Rattus norvegicus: one gene and its partners. The protein of the gene in region 2 purifies or fractionates together with the protein of the main gene of each other region. This does not show direct contact. Links are inferred from orthologs where the notes say so. Each region holds a gene or a part of one and is shown on either strand. Other genes may lie near its edges. The genes, in order: Tsr1, Rps2 and Stau1.

Region 1 (4,277 bases), about 46 Mb from region 2:
GGCGCAAGCCTGACCCTGGCCGAGGGCGCTGCCAGGGACGCAGAGAGGGACGTGGGGCGCGGCCCTAACAGGACCCCGCCCCCGCCTGGCACGGTGGGCTGGCGGCCGCGCGCGTGGGTGCCACGAACTCTCTGCTCGAGGGCCAGCCCAGGGAGGGGTGCGAGCCCCTGAGACCTTGCCCCGACCGTACCTCCTTTTTCACGTTCCACAGCAGCTTTTCTTTGACTGCGTCCTCTGCGCTGCCCATGGTGCGGCAGGTGGCGGGCAGGCGGCACCAAGCGGCCCCCGAAGCCCCCGTGCGCCCTCACCGCCTCCGCACCTCCCGACTCAGCGCCCCACACGCGAGGCGGAGCCCCCGCCCGCTGCACTCCCCGCCTGCAGCCGCCGCAGCCACTGCCCGGTGCTCAGCTCCGCAGCCATCTTCCGAGCCCCGCAGACGTCAGGCAGCAGGCCCGGCCCCTTCCCACAGCCGGCAGGGAGGGGGTGTGTGCGCTGCGACTGGGGGGGGGGGTCAGGGCGGGTGCGGACGCCTGGGGGCGTCGGGCCCGGGCGCGCGCCGCAGGGATGGTTGTCATGGCGACCGGCCCGCTCCCGCCCCGAGGGCGCGAACCCGCATTGTGAGCGCTGGGAGTCAGCCTCTCGCCACTGCACAAGCGGGCAGACTTTGAAGAGGTACTTACTTCTGGCCTAACCTAAACCACAGTAACCGCTCCCTACTCCTGGCCCCTCGGAGAGGCGTTAAGGAGCCAAGGTCTCGGCTCTGGGTCACTGTGGTTCGAACATGATCCTGTCACTCCTCCGGATCCTGTGGCCTGCCAGCAGTTCTTAGTCGCAACGCTTGCAGGAGAAAAGCAAGAACCCGACCACGAGCTACGAAGAGCAGGTGCCCGAGCACAAGAGGAAGCCTTCGCTCTCCTTCGGGTCTCCACGTCCGGTTTTTGTTCATCTTGCAGAATTGTTGGGAGAGAGGGGCACGAGTCGGAGTAAGAGACAGAACGGAGCCGGTGACACGAGTCCCTTCTAAGTGACTCGCGTTGGGAATTAGAGTCATAGAGGAAAGAAAAGGATACCCAGTTACACGTTTTATTCCTTTATACAATTCATTGGGACCGGAGAGAGCGGCGTGGAAAATCTACTTTTATTTCTTCCCATGTGATGTAACTTTAGGGTGCAAAGGTGGGAAGATGAGAGCAAAGTAGATTTTTCTAATCAAGAGACGAAGCCGGGAGATTACTACCGGCGTCTTTCAGCTCTCAGCAGACGACTGCAGCGTGGGAAAAGTTACCACGACGTGTCCGCAGAGACTCAGTACCCCGCGCTCGCAGGCTGGCGAAAAAAACCTCGCGAGAGGTCACGGGAGCGTAAAGACAAGTCCCTCTCGCGGGCCGGAAACGCTCGGGTCAGCCCGGAAGTAGTGTTTACTCGGTGCACGTGGGCAGTTAGAATGGCGGCTCACCGCTCCGGGCCGCTGAAGCAGCAGAATAAAGCTCATAAAGGCGGGCGGCACCACGGCGGTGGGTCCGCACAACGGGACAGCAAAGGTGCGTAGACAGAGGAGGGAGAAGGGCTGCTTAGTCGATACCCGTGCCCGGAGATTAGACTTGGGACTCGTGCCAAAGACTCTTTTTAAGGAGCTTAGGGAAGTTCTTGTCTGTTAATTTAACCGTGAGGAGAACAGCCACTTCTGATCTGCCTTTCAGGTCGTGTAGGACCGAAAATCCTGTGCAAGAAGCTTAAGAAGCAGCTCAGCCGAGTAGACCAGAGGCATCGCGCCAGCCAGCTCCGAAAGCAGAAGAGGGAGGCGGTGAGGAGTGGGGGTTGGGAAGCGGTGAGGCCATGGCTTCAGATTGGTAAAGTCTCAAACTAAAAAAATGTGACACGGAAATGGGCCGAAAACGGGTAAACCCAGGGTACCTTCGGGCCGTGTTCTTAGTACGACGCCCCTCCAAACTCCTTGACAGCACATACATACACGAGGCAAGAGAATGCTTGGTTATCTTCATTTATACGGACTTGCTCTTTTGCAGAGGAGGAGGAGGAAAGGAGGAGGAGAAGGATGATGATGATGATGATGATGATGATGATTTTAAACAAAGGATCTCACTAGGTAGCCCTGGCCGGCTGAGAACTCAGAGATCCTCTCTGTCTTCTGAGTGTCCGGTTTAAAGGCTTGGGCCACCACACCTGGCTGTTCCGATCTTTTCTCATGTTTTACGTTACATAAATTTCCCTTAGTATTTTTACAGAGCAACAGAAAGGAGAGCAGTTGTGCTTTGGGGTTGCAGCATCTGTACTTTTGAAGATGTAATGACTAGTGAAGCAAATGATTGAGATATTCTTGAATCTTTGTGTTCCTAGGTTCTGGCAGAGAAGAGGCAGCTGGGCAGCAAGGATGGGCCTCCACATCAGGTGCTGGTGGTGCCTCTGCACAACAGGATTTGCCTTCCAGAGGCATTTAAACTGCTTCAGAACGAAGACCTGGGAACAGTGTATTTGAATGAACGGGGAAGCACCCATAGTTTTATGCTTCTGAGCCCTAGCTTGAAACATCGGTGGTCTTTCACATATGCAAGACCAGGTTAGGGGATCTAATCCTTTTCTCTTCTTATGTTTAAGTGGTTCTATTTCTTGATTACAATGTGCTAACTATCTTTTTTTTTTACGGTGTCTTTTATATACAGGGGATCTGCATACACTATTAGACATGGCTAAAGTTGCTGATACCATCCTGTTCCTCCTGGACCCATTAGAAGGCTGGGACAGTACTGGGGATTATTGTCTATCTTGCCTCTTTGCTCAGGGCCTTCCCACCTATAGTAAGTGTGTTCTAGTATCAGTGAGACCAGAAAACAAAGTAAATTTTCCTTTCATTTTTTTAAAGATTTATTTATTTATTATAAGTACACTGTCGCTGTCTTCAGACACACCAGAAGAAGGCATCAGATCTCATTACAGATGGTTGTGAGCCACCATGTGGTTGCTGGGATGTGAACTCAGGACCTCTGGAAGAGCAGTCAGTGCATTTAATCCTTTTATCTTTTAACAGCTCTGGTCCTTGAGACGTAATGTTTAACACTTGGTTTAGGAGTAAATCAAGGAGTTGAATTCTGCTGGCCTGGGCTATACTTGTCCAGATTAAACATTATTTTCATATATTTTAGTTTTTGGTGGTGTTTGCTTGTTTGTTTTGGAGACAAAAAGTTCCTCTTATGTAACCCTGACTGTCCTGGAACTGTTCCTGTAGACCAGGCTAACCTTGATCTTACAGAGATTTGCCCCCTACCACCCAATTCCAAGTGTTGGGATTGAAAATGTGCACTGCCACCTAGCTTTTTTTTTTTTTTTTTTTTTTTGGTTCTTTTTTTCGGAGCTGGGGACCGACCCAGGGCCTTGGGCTTCCTAGGTAAGCGCTCTACCACTGAGCTAAATCCCCAGCCCTATTTTCATATTATTAAAGAGAACTTTTAATTTCTGGGCTGTCCTGTGCCCAGGAAAGGACTAGGAAGTTAACACTCATTGTGACGTTTCTTTGGCTGTTGGGAGGTTTATGAAGAACTGGAGAGGGATCTTCAAGCAGTGGAGCACTAAGCTCCTAAGTTCTTCTCTCTTCTTTCAGTGCTAGCTGTCCAGGGACTTCCTAGTCTCCCACCAAAGAGACAAACGGATGCCAGAAAGAAGCTAAATAAAACAGTGGAGAAACGCTTTCCTGAAGACAAACTCCTGCTGCTGGACACCCAGCAAGAATCAGGAATGTTACTCAGACAGTTGGCTAACCAGAAGCAAAGGCATCTTGCTTTTCGGGATCGGCGAGCTTACTTGTTTGCCCATGATGCTGACTTCATGCCTAGTGAGGAGAGTGACTTAGTGGGCACCTTGAAAATCTCAGGCTACATTCGAGGGAGGACTCTGAATGTAAATAGTTTGCTGCATATTGTTGGACATGGTGATTTCCAAATGAATCAAATAGACGCGCCTGTGGATCCTTTCCCTTTAAATCCTAGAGTGGTTAAATCCCAAAAGAAACCAAGCATGTCAATGGAGGTAAGATTGGTGTTTCCATTTCTGGGAGTCTAACTCACTTGGCTACATTCCTTGCCTGAGATTGTTTTTAATTTTTTTACTGAATTTATTTTTGTGTGCTGGAGAGGGGTATATTACGAGTGTGGAAGGCCTTGTGGGGCCACCCTGCTTTTTAAATTTCAGAGCATATAGTTTGCATGCTGAGGCCAGTGAGGAGACTACTGCTGGTTTGAATTGTAAGGCAGTAGGAATTCAGA
Region 2 (3,776 bases):
AACCCTTCACACTGACAGGCTCTCAGTACTGTCACCATGGCTGCTTTAAACTGTATGTACAGCAAGCCTGCCTCTCCAGTACAGGCAATCACACCCAGGCTCCAGTCAGTGTAACCCCAATCTTTGAAAGGCTGAAGTAGGATTGTTAAAATTCAGGGCATTCCTAGAGTACAAGGCACAACCCAGTCTCACCAAAAAGTGGAAAAAAAAACTGGTTCAAAACCGCTCTTAGGTTGGAGAGATGGCTCAGTGGTTAAGAACACCGGCTGCTCTTCCAGAGGTCCAGAGTTGGAATCCAAGCAACCACACAGTGGCTCACATCCATCTGTAATGAGATCTGATGCTCTATTCTGGTGTGTCTGAGGGCACCTACAGTGTACTTATATATAATAAATCTTTAAAAAAGAAAAACCCGTTCTTATGGGAGTCAGTTACACCAAGTGATGTACATTCACGCAAGCAAAACAAAGCACATTAAAACGCACAAGAATCCGCCTGCCTTGGGTACCCAGATGCTGACTGCTGAGACTAACACACCGGTTGAGAATGCACTTTCCGGGGTTGGGGATTTAGCTCAGTGGTAGAGCGCTTGCCTAGCAACCGCAAGGCCCTGGGTTCGGTCCCCAGTTCCGAAAAAAAAAAAAAGAAAAAAGAGAATGCACTTTCCACCTAGACTGATGGTAACCGTCCAACACATTAATACACAGTTAAGTTAAAACATTTTATTTGAGAAAAGAGGACATCCGAACCCTGTCATTCTCGCGGGAGAGTCAGCGGCAACGTCCAGATCCGGTGGAATTAACTCATTTTGAGAAAAGAGGACACCCGAACACTGCCACTCTTGCGGGGGAGGCGGCGACAACGTTCAGATCCAGTGGAACCTGTGAAATAAATGACGTGATTAGGACTGTGGCCCCAAGCCAGACCGCGGGAGCGGCGAGGCGATCTGGAATGTAGGGGCCTGGGTTTCACCCTCCCACACTGGGGCAGCAGGGGGTGAGCTGAGGCCTCTGTGGCTCTGGGCGCCGATTCTCAACCCCGGCCACAGGCCAAAGCCGAGGATGATTTTCAACGAACGCCCATTTACTGGGTCAAAGCCCATCAGGAGCGACCTACCTGGACATGAAAACGGAAGCACGAACTCGTGGACACTAGGAAGACCACAAAGCGCCGGCGCGAGTATTTATATACGCGCTTCCGGCTGGTGGCGTTCGCGGCTTCGGCGAGGGGAAGTGCGCAGGCGCAAGTAGACCGTGGCGGAGGCGGGACAAGACGCAGCCAATCACAGCCTGCAGTTGCCCTGTATAGACGTTCGAGATCTCGCGGCTCTTGGCTCGCTATAAAAGGTCCCTTCCGCAGCGCCTCCCTCTTCTTTTTCTTCGGGAAAACACGTGAGTCTGTGTTACTGGGCTCTGATCTTGCGGCCTGGGCTGTGGGAATCCGTGGACATCCGGACGGACACAGCTTTGGCAGCTCCGCGGACCCTGGGGTTCTACTGATTTGCTTTTTCTTCTCTTGTCACTAGCAAATGGCGGATGACGCCGGTGCAGCGGGAGGGCCCGGAGGACCCGGGGGCCCAGGATTAGGAGGCCGCGGCGGCTTCCGCGGAGGATTCGGCAGCGGCCTTAGGGGCCGCGGTCGTGGCCGAGGCCGTGGCCGCGGTCGAGGCCGCGGGGCTCGTGGAGGTAAAGCTGAAGACAAGGAGGTAGGTGTGGGCCGCTGGCGGAGCGGGCTGCTCACCCTCTGCACGGAGATGCAGCCCTTTGACTGATCTCTTCCTTCAGTGGATCCCCGTTACCAAGCTGGGCCGCCTGGTTAAGGACATGAAGATCAAGTCCTTGGAGGAGATCTACCTGTTCTCCCTGCCCATTAAGGTACAAAGATGAGTCCGTGCATAAACAACTCAAGGGCGGGAATATCTAGATGGCTCTAAGTGTGCTGCCACATTTTATTGTCAAGGGTGGAGGAGGATTGGAATACCCTTCTTTGTCCATTGGTAGGGAGCGAATTTAATGTATTTGCCATAAAATCTCTTTTACAGGAGTCTGAGATTATTGACTTTTTCCTGGGTGCATCTCTAAAGGATGAAGTTCTGAAAATCATGCCAGTGCAGAAGCAGACTCGGGCTGGCCAGCGGACCAGGTTCAAGGTTAGTTAGGATCGTTTCTTGGCAAGAGCCGTTTGAACAGTAGGGCTGTACTTAACTCTCTCACTCTGCATGGTTACACTAGGCTTTACCCGTGTGACTTTCGTACCGGGAGAGAGAGAAAAGGAGTTCCTCCAGTACTTGGGATTGGCCTCACAGTGGCCTTTCTTGCTTAGAGGAGCACCACAGGTCCTGTTTGGGATGTGCTGGTGGCATGAGGTATCTACAGCCATTTCACTTAAGTCTTTTCACAGGCCTTTGTCGCTATTGGGGACTACAATGGCCACGTTGGTCTTGGTGTTAAGTGCTCCAAGGAGGTAGCCACTGCCATCCGAGGGGCCATCATCCTGGCCAAGCTTTCGATCGTCCCAGTGCGGAGAGGCTACTGGGGGAACAAGATTGGCAAGCCCCACACTGTGCCATGCAAGGTGACAGGCCGCTGTGGCTCTGTGCTGGTTCGTCTCATCCCTGCCCCCAGAGGCACTGGCATTGTCTCTGCTCCTGTGCCCAAGAAGCTACTGATGATGGCCGGTATAGATGACTGCTACACTTCAGCCAGGGGCTGCACTGCCACCCTGGGCAACTTTGGTAGGTAGCTCATTTATTGTGGCCTCTCTTCAGCTGTTTTAATCTTAAAAAAAAAAAGACAAAACCAACTCTTTTACTGTTTCACAGCCAAGGCCACCTTTGATGCCATCTCCAAGACCTACAGCTACCTGACCCCTGACCTCTGGAAAGAGACTGTGTTCACCAAGTCTCCTTATCAGGTAGGCTGATTCAGATGGTGGTGTGTTGGGGATTTAGCTCAGTGGTAGAGCGCTTGCCTAGGAAGCGCAAGGCCCTGGGTTCGGTCCCCAGCTCCGGAAAAAAAAAAAAGAACCAGATGGTGGTGTGTTTAGCTGCCTTAAGCTTTGTTGCCTGAGTTGGGGGCATGTTGTATACTAATGTCCTTCTCTTTTTAGGAATTCACTGACCATCTTGTGAAAACCCACACCAGAGTCTCTGTTCAGAGGACCCAGGCTCCAGCTGTGGCTACCACATAAGGGTTTTTATACAAGAAAAATAAATGAATTAAGTCTGTTAATTGTGTTTTTCCTTTTGTCTGTCTCCCCCATACCTGGAACTACACAGCTCTGGCTGGCTCAAAATGAGCCCAACTAAGCGGCTGTGCAACTTAGACACAGAGACACAGGTGATGGCCAGGCCTGTCATTTTATTTCAGCAGTGGATGAACAAGAGTTCTTTGTCTGGTGTCTTAGGCGGCAGCAGTCTCCTTGGCAGCCTTTCTCTCTTCCAGCATCCTCTGCTTCTGCTTTGCCAGGCACTTCCTGGCAGAATAGTAGGCTCCCAGGTCCTGGTCTGGAGGAGAGATGGGCCATGGAGAGCTTGTTATAGGCAGGTTTTAGTAACGCGGGAAACAAGGACCCAAAACTGATCATACAGCTGAAAGGGTGGGGAAAGCCACAAGGTAAAAGGGTCACTCACAGCGGTCCTGGTAGGCTTTAGACACTTGGGTGAATTGCTCCAATTCCTTGGCACAGTTCTGCAGTGCACTCTCTCCTTCCCTCTGCTGACAAGCCTTAAGTCTCTCCTGGATGATGTTGATGATTTCTTGGTCCACTTTGCTGAA
Region 3 (3,614 bases), on a different chromosome or scaffold from region 2:
TCAAATCAGAAGAGAAGGTGACTGCTGGGACTCTCTGCCAGGTGGCCTAGCTTCCTGCATGGGCAAGCCTGGGGCAAGGCTTCATCTTCCCTGCAGTAAGCAGCCTGCCCCTGGGGTTCCTCCAATTGAGATTAGTGTTTGCAGGAGGAGTTTCCTGTCTGTGCAGTCCACCATGTCCTGGGAGCCGTCCTAACGGTTAAGTCTCCTGTTCAGTGTCACTATGGGCTGGGTGTGCATTTCAGGAGGTCCTGGTCTCTGCTTCTGATGGGTGGTTGGGATTGGAATGGCTAAAATGACTGTCACTTGTGCCTAAAAGGGTCCGCGTGACCTAGCTTTGAATCGGCTTTGCTTTTTCTGGGACAAGATAGCATAGGCCAAATCTATAGATCAGATTTAGGATCCTTGTGTGAATTCTGAGTTGAATATTACTCCACTTTGAGAACTCACTCTGCAGAGTGGTCAGCGGGAAACTGAGCCATTGCTGGCTCAGCTGTTGTCATGTTGGGGTCTTCTAAAGTAGGCGTGAGCCTCTTTTGAGCTCTGCCAGTTTCACAACCAATAAATAAATCCCACTGCCTCGGAAGTCAGTACCTGGGACCCAGCCACTGCATATGGAGTTTGCAGACCTTGGTTTGCCTTCCAGATTTCCCATTCCTGAACCGTGTAGAGTACTCATAAGCACCCTCCCTGTGCCTGACAGCATTAGATACCTCCGTGTTCTCTGTGGGAGCACTGTTTTTGGATAGTTACGTAGGTGTTTCTGCTCAGCACCAGTACAGACCCTATTTTCCCAACATGCTGAACACTTTCAAGCCCACACCGCATTCAGGATCTGTTCTAAGTAGATGCTGCCACGGGGAAGCATGAGAGTTTATACAGCGGGGGTTGTGGTATTCTCCAGACCCTAGCGCTTCCGTGCTTGTCTGTGCTCACTGCCATTTTTCTTTCTTAAGACTCCAGTAAAGAAACCAGGAGATGGAAGGAAAGTAACATTTTTTGAACCTAGCCCTGGGGATGAAAATGGAACCAGTAAGTTTGGCCCTCTTTCTCGTCAGTTGAACCAGTGTGGTCTGTGTTTGTATGGTTCTTGTGTTGAGTTTTCTGAAGCACTGGTAGTGGCTGCCTTCCTGTGTGTGCTGTGATGGTGGTGGTAAGAGTGGCTCTGTCTTCTGGGGTGGTGAGGGTGACCGGTGGCCTGTGTCCCTGCAGGTAATAAAGAGGATGAGTTCAGGATGCCCTATCTTAGCCATCAGCAGCTGCCAGCCGGGATCCTCCCCATGGTGCCAGAGGTTGCCCAGGCTGTCGGGGTTAGTCAAGGACACCATACCAAAGATTTCGCCAGGGCAGCTCCAAATCCTGCCAAGGCCACGGTAACTGCCATGATAGCCCGAGAATTGTTGTACGGGGGCACCTCGCCCACAGCCGAGACCATTTTAAAGAGTAACATCTCTTCAGGACATGTACCCCATGGACCTCGCACAAGACCCTCTGAGCAACTGTACTACCTTTCCAGAGCCCAGGGATTCCAGGTAACTGTTGGCTTTCGCGTGGTCACCTTTGTGCCTCAGATGACCCTTACAGTGTGGTCAGGTCAGGTTCTTTCTGCAGAGTTGCCTGTAGAGTGTGTGCAAGACCCTGCCTGTGTTCTGCTCTCAGCACCACAGAAACTAGAAAAGGTTTTTGTGATTGTCCACGAGTTTGAGTGTACCGTGTGGTTCTGTGCAAGAAGGTCTAGGATGAGAAGGTGGCTTATCATGTAAAGGTGTCTATCTCCAAGCCCAACAATCGTAGTTTGATTAGTGGAAAAGAACCAACTCTAGCAAGTTGTCCTCAGTGTCCACACACATGCCATGAACACACCCAGGAGGTGTGTGGGGGGCAAAGTAGGCCAGGGCTGAAGGGAGAGAAGACATGTTTCCTTAGGAAGAGGAGGAGAGAACAGGCTTCTGCAGATTCTAGGCTCGGGCCCACATGCAGGGGATGTGCTGTTTTCCTTAGGTTGAATACAAAGACTTCCCCAAGAACAACAAGAACGAGTGTGTATCTCTCATCAACTGCTCTTCACAGCCACCTCTCGTCAGCCATGGCATCGGCAAGGATGTGGAGTCCTGTCATGATATGGTATGTGGGCCCGGGAGGTGCTGAGTTCTCACTCAGGAGCTGGCACACGTACTTGTTCAGTGTTAGTGGCCTCAGAGAGGGACATGGTTCTCCTGGAACCCGGTCAACTGGTCTGATTCCTCACTTCTGCTCTATTCTGGCAGCCACCTTTGGGGTGTTGTGTTCAACACAAGGAGGAATCAGCACACTTGAGCTTTGGTGTTCACTGGATGGGAAGCGTGGGAGTTTTATGTTGAGCAGGATTCAAACATTTCATTGGGAAGAAGTTGCCACCCATTTGCTGGAGTTTTCGGCATGAGGCCAGTCTGTTCCCTGTGGTTTGACTCTTCCTTCCATCCATCTTTCTAGGCTGCACTGAACATCTTAAAGCTGCTGTCTGAGTTGGACCAACAGAGCACAGAGATGCCAAGGACAGGAAACGGACCAGTTTCAGCGTGAGTGAACACACACACACACACACACACACACACACACACACACACACAGAGAGAGAGAGAGAGAGAGAGAGAGAGAGAGAGAGAGAGAGAGAGAGAGAGAGAGAAGGCAGTGCCAGTGTACACACACACACACACACACACAGAGAGAGAGAGAGAGAGAGAGAGAGAGAGAGAGAGAGAGAGAGAGAGAGAGAGAGAGAGAGAGAAGGCAGTGCCAGTGTGGGTGAGCGGGGATCCATTGAAAGGCAGGGTTAGTAGATGTGGACAGGAGCAGCCACCTCTTCACCCACTGTTATCCACGGAGCTGTGGTTAAATGTTACGTGCATTGGTGCTTTATCTGCACGTACATCAGTGTCAGATTTTAGTCACAGCCACCACTGTCACTTTCTTCCTCAGACACAACACTTGCTTTCACCGAGTACCAGCATTTTCTAGGATGATGTTATCAGTTCCCATACATAGGGCCTTGGGTGTTTGCAAGCTGCATTTTGGAGATTAGCTTTCATTTCAATGTCTGCCATTGTCATTTTTCTTTCTTAAAGGTGCGGGAGGTGCTGAACCTATTCTGGCCATGAACCATTATAAAACCCAACATATATACCGAAAATACTGAGAACTGCTTTGAAAATTTGGAATTTCTGATAACTCCAGTGGGCCAAGACATGGTGGATAAAAAAATGTGGCAAAGAAGAAAAGGAACTGCAGGTGGTGGCCTTGGTTGGGCTGGGCTGCTGGTGACGCTGTGCTCCGCCATCCACCAGGAGACCAGCAGCTCCAGTGTCTCCAGCTTTTATTTTTGCCTCGTGACAGAGAAACGGAGAGCGTGGCCAACTCTCACGCTGGCTTCTTCAGATTCTTTGGAAAACCGGGACAGCCACACCAGAGAGGCCTTACAGCGGCCCCGGAGCTAAACGCACCAGAGAAAAACCAGTGCTTCCTACATGACTGACGCAACTCTGCCACACGTAGCACCCACCGTAACCACTGCTTTCTCTTCAACAGTGATGGATGCCTGTTAGTTCCATTATTCCCTTTGGTTGAGATGACACTATGTA

What was found.
Region 1: the proteins of Rps2 (region 2) and Tsr1 purify together in Homo sapiens (affinity purification with mass spectrometry; 3 studies listed by BioGRID and IntAct, counting the BioPlex papers as one, with this or other methods). This does not show direct contact. The link is inferred for Rattus norvegicus from reciprocal best matches to the Homo sapiens genes RPS2 and TSR1.
Region 3: the proteins of Rps2 (region 2) and Stau1 purify together in Homo sapiens (affinity purification with mass spectrometry; 3 studies listed by BioGRID and IntAct, counting the BioPlex papers as one, with this or other methods). This does not show direct contact. The link is inferred for Rattus norvegicus from reciprocal best matches to the Homo sapiens genes RPS2 and STAU1.

What each region holds. Positions count from the first base shown.
Region 1 is NC_086028.1:60,257,382-60,261,658, forward strand, and holds the start of Tsr1 (pre-rRNA-processing protein TSR1 homolog), read left to right. Parts: upstream 1-1,408; 5' UTR 1,409-1,444; coding exon 1,445-1,541; intron 1,542-1,700; coding exon 1,701-1,804; intron 1,805-2,358; coding exon 2,359-2,578; intron 2,579-2,681; coding exon 2,682-2,816; intron 2,817-3,616; coding exon 3,617-4,041; intron 4,042-4,277. Other genes in the region: Sgsm2 (small G protein signaling modulator 2), read right to left, coding at 191-247. UniProt on the Homo sapiens protein: Required during maturation of the 40S ribosomal subunit in the nucleolus.
Region 2 is NC_086028.1:14,250,468-14,254,243, forward strand, and holds Rps2 (small ribosomal subunit protein uS5), read left to right. Parts: upstream 1-1,380; 5' UTR 1,381-1,391; exon of another isoform or gene 1,392-1,525; 5' UTR 1,526-1,528; coding exon 1,529-1,705; intron 1,706-1,784; coding exon 1,785-1,874; intron 1,875-2,041; coding exon 2,042-2,149; intron 2,150-2,203; exon of another isoform or gene 2,204-2,337; intron 2,338-2,400; coding exon 2,401-2,734; intron 2,735-2,821; coding exon 2,822-2,913; intron 2,914-3,108; coding exon 3,109-3,189; 3' UTR 3,190-3,230; downstream 3,231-3,776. Other genes in the region: Ndufb10 (NADH dehydrogenase [ubiquinone] 1 beta subcomplex subunit 10), read right to left, coding at 3,402-3,505, 3,632-3,771.
Region 3 is NC_086021.1:176,099,902-176,103,515, reverse strand, and holds part of Stau1 (double-stranded RNA-binding protein Staufen homolog 1), read left to right. Parts: coding exon 1-17; intron 18-953; coding exon 954-1,029; intron 1,030-1,209; coding exon 1,210-1,529; intron 1,530-1,998; coding exon 1,999-2,121; intron 2,122-2,469; coding exon 2,470-2,555; intron 2,556-3,101; coding exon 3,102-3,117; 3' UTR 3,118-3,614. UniProt on the Homo sapiens protein: Binds double-stranded RNA (regardless of the sequence) and tubulin.